2 separate regions of the Mus musculus genome follow, and region 2 is reported to be linked to region 1. The links are microRNA targets in miRTarBase. Many come from high-throughput screens and were not tested one by one. Region 1 holds a microRNA gene; the other region holds the end of a gene's coding sequence. Distances are between the middles of the regions.

Region 1 (3,404 bases):
CGCACACACACACCTGCATGCCACTGCGAGTCTTCATGATAGGGATGGCCTTCAGGAACTCAGGGTCTAGACAGCTTTTACTGGATGCTGTAGTAGAGGAGACAGGGCAAAAGGAGAGAACCCCTGCTTAGCACCCACCTTACAGTGGCTCTGGTCCCTCCCCATTCCAGTCTCCCTAGGGAGGGCCGGGTACCAGCTCAGCTAGAATGAGAGGTCATGGATTACTCCGTTTGTGTCTGGCCTCAGTTTTCCTTTCTGTACAATGAGTAGCCCTGGATCTCTAAGCTGTAGACTTAATAATAACTTTCCAGGACTTAGCTGAGTCTATACTGAGGAAGAGGAAGGTCTTGGTGGTTCAGGCGTATGCTGGGGTCCCTGTCCCCAAACGACTCTGTCCAGGAGTTCCTTCCCCCCCAGGAAGAAGCTGGGAGCCAGAGCAAATGTCCAGCCTGCTGCTTCACTGTGGAAGTCTCAGGCCACCTTCCCTATCGGCCGCTGGAGGACAGGAGGGCAGTTCAGAGAGTCCTGGCTTCTACAGTCAGGACTGCACAGGGACTGTGAGAGAAGACACCAACATGAACTCTGGCTCACCCAGCTTCCTCTTGGCCTCATCAAAGGCCTGCTCAAAGCCCAGGCGGGCATCCGGGTGGGGAAACTCAAAGATGTAGGAGTCGGTGCCCTCGGGCCGGGTGGCGCACAGCTCCAGCTTGGTGGGCGGGAAGGCCAGGGAGCAGCATAGCGCCTGCTTTTCTGACAGGTCCCGGTGCATGGCGGCCGAGAGATCCCTCAGTGCATCGTCTAGACTCTGTGGGAAAAGAACCCAGGCCTCAGGCCAAGGTGTCACCACATGGGCACCTGCACCGAGGGGACCGTGGAAGGCAGCCTCCTCCTGCCACAGACAGGGATGGGCCTTTCTCCCCCTCAGAGGTCTCCTCCCTCAGACCCCGGACCTGTCACTTCCCTTAAGTGGGAGCAAGACTATAATTTTCCCCTTCAGATAAGTGACAGGACCAACTGCTCCCTCAGGCAAAAGCCAAGACTGTCTGTCCCTCAGGCAAGGTCAGGGGAAGTCCCAGCCAACACTGCCTTAGCTCAGGGCACAGACCTGGTGGGGGAAGCCGAGGCTCTCGGAGAGCTTGCTCATTTGGCCCAGGGTGGCCAGGTCCTCATCCAGGCGGCTGATGGCTTTTTGGATGGTCTCCCGATTGGTGGCTTGAGACGCCCCTGGCGAGGACAGAGGAAAGCCATGAACACATCAAACAAGGTCAAGCTTGGACAGACACACTTCCCTTAGCGCACAGCCTTCAGCTGAGCACGGGATTGGTCTGGCAAATGGGAGCACTTCCAGACCCAAGCTCTCAGAAACAAGGTCAACAGGTAGCTCTCAGAAAAAAAAAACAGGCCCGGGAGGAGAGGTCTGGTTTAGAGTCACAGGGCACAGAACGGCCAACTCTTGGAGAACTTGCTAGGGCACTAAGAGGATGATTTGCATGGAAACTAACCCGGTTCTTCAAAACCAATCTCTCATATGGGATGAAAGATGAGTCACAAGAGCAGACAAACCAACAGACAGGCAGGCAGACTCAGGGGAAAGCCACCAGCAGAACCCCTGACAGACTCAGCCAGCCTCACCCTTGATGATGTCTGTGTCTTCCAGTGGCAGCTTCCACAGCATCTTGTATTTGCTGGCTGTATCAATGACGCTGGCTGCTGTGTACCTGTGGGTAGCCAATGGGGTGCTCTGGCTGGGGCAGGGAGTAGAGCCCACAATAGATCAATGGCTCTCCTGCCTGCACCACCCAGCCCCACCCTGGCCACTCACAGGCTCATGGAGCTGCGCCTCAGCGAGCCCGACTTTCGTTTCAGGGTGGTACAGACAATGAGGTCTGTGAACAGGAAGAGGGATCGGTCCTTCTTGCCTCCAATTGCCTTCTGTAGGGTCCAAAGTGGCATTCAGGCTCAGTGTGCACAGTCTAGAGGCCGACCTACATTACCCTAGTTCCCCAGGAACAGCAAATCCAAGGGAGGGGTGAGGGCTCTCCCCCACTTATGTGGAATCGGGATTCATGCAGGGCTCCCATTGTGTGGTGCTTGGGGAGCAGGAACCAGAGGGCAGCAGGCGCCAGAGAGTGAACTTGGGTGGGTTGAAGGTACTTGGGGGAACAGCCAATGGGAGAACCCTTACCACTTCAATAACCATCTCCTGCCTCAGGAACCGCCGCAGGGGGGCCTGGAGCTGGTGGGTAGGAGAGAACTAGTTATTAGTCTATTAACCCTGCAGTGATCGGTTGACCACTCTATGAACGAGGTCAGCCAGAGCGACATCCTGTCCTCGCTTGCATCACTGGGCTGCCAGACAGGGACACAAGGTCAGACAGAGGAGGAGGAGGAGGAGGACACAGAAGGGTGGGGCACTGTGGTCACAGAAGCAAGCTGACCACAGACCTGGACGTGGATGGCCACAATCCGGGTGACAGATGAAGACACAGACAGGGACAAGTTGGGGCACGGCAGGGTGGGGCACGTACATCCTCCATGCCCTCGATGTGGGCTTCGATCTCCTGAAGCACGCGGGCATGCCGCTCGGCCTCCTCAGCGCTCCGCACACCCTTGTTGATGCGCTCAGCCACCTGCTTGATGTTGCGCTGAGCATCGAGCAGCAGTGGGTGGTCTGGATGGTCTTCCGGTGTGTGCTTCAGAAGGTCCTGGGGCGGGAATGGAGACCTGTTTAGCTGCCCTGAGGTATTGAACTGACTGCTGGAGCATGAGAGACCATGGTATAGGCATCAAGGAGGACTTTCTTTCCTGCCTGGAGTCTGAGAACAGACATACTCCTCCCCCCGACCCCCAGGGCCTCCCTGTCCAGCCAGGCCCGTGGTTACCTTCACCAGAAGCTCATAGCGTGGGATTCTCTGCACAGGCTTGATCATGAGGTCGGACAGCGCCTGCTTTTCCTTGTTCTCACGCATGCTTTGCTGAAACCGAAGGCAGAGTGGAGGGAGTTCTCACATGAGGACTGACACGGCAGGAAGAGACACGCTCCTAGCCAAGTCCCTCCAGGTGAGCCCAAAGGCAGAGGCTGACACACTTGCAAGCACCACAATGTTTTTGGTCAAGAGCTCCTGGGATGCCCAGAGCTAGCCTGACATGTTAGCTTCACCCCTACCCCAGTCCACATACCTCCAAGAACTTGAGAAAGGCTGGCCTGGCCTCCTTAGCTACACGCACAGCATCCTTTGCATTGAGGAAGTTATCAATATAGGCCGAATAGATGTTCACCAAGACGTCTTTGGAAAACTGTGGGTGAGGAAGCAGGTTAGGCAGGCTCAGGTGTCCCTCACCCACTTCACCCTGTCCTGGCTTCTGTCTATTTAACTTGAAATGGTCAGGCAGGTCTTCTCTGT
Region 2 (3,404 bases), 57 Mb from region 1:
ACAGAAGGACTATCTTGCTGGTGGAGCTAGGGAGACGGGGTGCTTGTTAAGTATTAAATGTTTTCAGAAAGTAGGAGTGAAGGTGATTCCTCTCCCCACCCCCCAAAAAAAATTGCACATGGGAGGCTGGAGAGAGGCTCGGGTTTAGAGAGTGTGTTGCTCCAGCAGAAGATCTGAGTTCAGTTCCCAGCACCTACATCGAGCTCCTCACAACCTCCTTTAACCTCAGCTCTAGGGAATCAAATGCCACCTTCTGGCATCCGTAGGCACTGCACCTTATGTGTATATACCCCTACACACATATATGCAATTTAAAATTTAAAATGTTTGCGGGTGAGTAGATGTGGGGTTCCAGGGGCCCCTGCTGTCTTCTCTGACTCTCTCCTTTCCTCTCTTTACAGAATCCCCTGGTTGAATCCCAGGCAGATGACAGCTCTGAGCCCCTGCCTTCCATACTTGAGGCGGCCCCCTCCTCCACAGAGGAAGAGATACATTATGCGACCCTCAGCTTTCACGAGATGAAGCCCATGAACCTGTGGGGGCAACAGGACACTACCACGGAGTACTCAGAGATAAAGTTTCCACAAAGGACCGCATGGCCATGACCGTGGCTGGAGAAAGCATGGTGGCCCCAGGAGGCTGGCTCTGGAGAAGGAAAGAGTCACCTAGGTTGACATGTGATACACAGGGCTTCAGAGCCATTCCTTCTGTGACACAGGCGTTCTGTGCTGCCCATGCCCCTGTGCTGCCCTGTCCACACAACTGCTATTGTGCCCTGGGAATCATAAGCTTGACCTTTTTACTCCTCTTCTCCCCTTCCCCTCCTTCCCCGCCCCCTCTTCTCCTCCTCCTCTCTCCCCTCTCCTCCCCTCTTCCTTTTGTTTTTTCCAAGACAGGGTTTCTCTGTGTAGCCTTGGCTGTCCTAGAACTTGCTCTGCAGACCAGACTGCCCTTGAACTCTTCTTTCCAAGTGCTGGGATTAAAGATGTGCACCACCACCCAGCACTTGACTTTATTGTAACTGTATGTGTGTGAATGTTTTGCCTGCACGCAGGCCTGTGCGCCACCTACATGCCTCCTGCCTGCAGTGGCCAGAAGAGGTCATCAGACAGTTTGAAATTGGAGTTACAGAGGGTTGTGAGAGGCCACATGGGTGCTAGGAACTGAACCCAGACATCTGTAAGAGTAGCCTGTGCTCGTAACTACTAAGCCATCTCTCCAGTAATAAGATTGACTGTTTTAGATCTAATTTTTACTTAAAAATTGGCATATATTATTTACACAGTGATAGACTTTGCTATATTTTCTTCCAAGTGTATCACATATTTTGGCCATGTTCATCCCCTTCTCCTGTTAGCATCCTATTAGTCGCTAGGCTCCTTTCTCTCCCCAAACAATCCCTTTATGGTTTCATGTTGTATGTATTAGCTACTTTTCTTGTCTTTGTTGATAGGATGCTGACAGAAACATGAAGGATAGGAAGGTTTATTCTTGCTCATGGTTTCAGTCTATCATGGCGAGGAAGGCAACATGGTGCTCAAGTGAGTACATGTAGTGGAGGCTCCAAATCTTGATGAATCAGGAAGCAGCAGGCTCAAACCAGAACTAGATGTAGGTATCATCTTCCAAGCCCAGTCCTAGACACCCACTTCTATAAGCTGTGCCTCATGTCTGAGAGATCGCAAGGCTTTAGAAAATACTGCGACCAGCTGGATACCAAATGTCCAAATATGTGGGCCTTTGGGGACAATGTACATTTAAACCCAAACTAGATGGATGATAGATAGATAGATAGATAGATAGATAGATAGATAGATAGATAGATAGATAGCAGAAAGAAAAGGGTTAGTAGATGATATATAGATAGATGATAGAAAATAGAGACATAGAGATGACAGATAATGATGGAAAGGTAGATAGATGATAGAAGATAGATGCTATATAAAAGGTAAATGGTAGATACAAGATAGATGATAGAAAAAAAGATGACAGACAGACAGACAATTTGGCAGAGATGCTGCTCCACTCTGCTTTGCTATTGGTGATGCACCACTGAACGTAGCTCAGAGAAAGTGCAGATAGCAGTGCTGGATACTGAGGGGCTGCCAAACGTGCCTTAACTCGGTTTCTTTTTCCTGGTTTTTAAAAACAGTGCATATACTTTGTGAGAGAAAAGCACTTGAGAGCAAAACATAAAGAAGATTCTAACGTAAGAGGAAATACTGATAATACTTAACATTTTTGCAAATGTTCACTTGCATGTGAACATAAAACTGGACTGAATCTGTATTTGTGCCTATCATTGTTGATTAATCTATACTTTTTTATTTGGGTTTTTTTTTTGAGACAGTGTGGTGGTTTGAATGAAAATGTCACTCATAGGAAGTGGCATTATTAGAGGTATACACTTGTTGGAGGAAGTCTGTCACTGAGGGAGGGTTATGAGGTTTCTGCAGCTCAGCCAGGCCCAGTGTCACCCTCTCTCCCTGCTCCATGCCTATCCAGATGCAGAACTCTCAGCTTTTCTCCAGCACCATATCTGCCTGTCTACCACCATGCTTCCTGCCATGATGGTAATGGACTAATCCTCTGAACTGTAAGCCAGCCCCGATTAAAATAAGAGTTGCCATGGTCACAGTGTCTTTTCACAGGAATAGAATACTAACTAAAACAGACAGGGTCACAAGTACCCCAGGCTGTCCTAGAACGTGCTATGTAGCTTAAGATGACCTTGAACTCCCGAACCTCCTGCTTCCAGCTTCCAAAGCCTGGGATCATGGGCATATACAACATACTTTCTTATATATTCATATATATTTTCAAGTGTGTGTGTGTGTGTGTGTGTGTGTGTGTGTGTGTGAATGCAGTTCATGCTGAGTTCAGATGAGAGCATCAGATAACCTGTAGTTGGAGTTACAGGTGATTGTGAGCTGCCCAACATGGGTGCTGGGAGCCCAACTTGGGATCTTTGCAAAGGCAGTATATACTCTTCCTCCAGCCCCTGATCTGTTCTTTCTGTTTCTGACCCCATCTCTGTGCCTCTGTGGCCCTATCAGATGTAGCTTTGTGTATTCATCTATAATTAGAAGGCAACTACCTTCCTCATTGAGAAGCCTTTCTACCAGTGTGCTTCTTAAACCTGTGTGTAGGACCCATTTAAGCAACTGACACCAGTTGTCTGAACTTAAAATGGCTTCATTTCTCTGTCATTGGTATCTGCGCATCTTTGAAGAATCTTTCAAGATCCCCTAGTGTCAGAGTAAGGATGTGGAGCTGGAAACTGGGGGGATGGGGGGCGGTGCCTAGAATTAGATCCTGGAGCTCTTACACGATCTGCCCCAGCTTGGCCAGCTCTGATTAGCAGATGGTATTAATGGCCAGGCTCCCTGTGATGTCACCCCTTG

Evidence for each region. The annotated mature microRNA mmu-miR-3102-5p reads GUGAGUGGCCAGGGUGGGGCUG and lies in region 1 at 1,801-1,822, opposite strand. An mRNA with a match to its seed (bases 2 to 7 or 8) in the 3' UTR can be bound and repressed. Matches are read on the target gene's strand: a 7mer-m8 pairs with bases 2 to 8, a 7mer-A1 pairs with bases 2 to 7 and ends in A, and an 8mer does both.
Region 2: miRTarBase lists Siglece as a target of mmu-miR-3102-5p. The part of its 3' UTR that is shown has no 7-base or 8-base seed match.

The regions. Positions count from the first base shown.
Region 1 is chr7:100,880,588-100,883,991 of GRCm38, forward strand. It overlaps Mir3102 (microRNA 3102), which reads right to left and starts at 1,822; the gene lies at 1,719-1,822. It overlaps Arhgef17 (Rho guanine nucleotide exchange factor (GEF) 17), which reads right to left. Exons shown (of 21, transcript NM_001081116.1): 4 at 3,181-3,297; 5 at 2,883-2,975; 6 at 2,529-2,705; 7 at 2,186-2,236; 8 at 1,823-1,932; 9 at 1,633-1,718; 10 at 1,106-1,224; 11 at 592-805; 12 at 14-87.
Region 2 is chr7:43,648,687-43,652,090 of GRCm38, reverse strand. Siglece (sialic acid binding Ig-like lectin E) reads left to right here. Exons shown (of 7, transcript NM_031181.2): 7 at 402-1,021. The coding sequence ends at 605. It overlaps Ceacam18 (carcinoembryonic antigen-related cell adhesion molecule 18), which reads right to left. Exons shown (of 6, transcript NM_028236.1): 6 at 2,796-3,404. Among named protein-coding and RNA genes, the nearest start is that of Siglece, 9.8 kb to the left of the region's middle.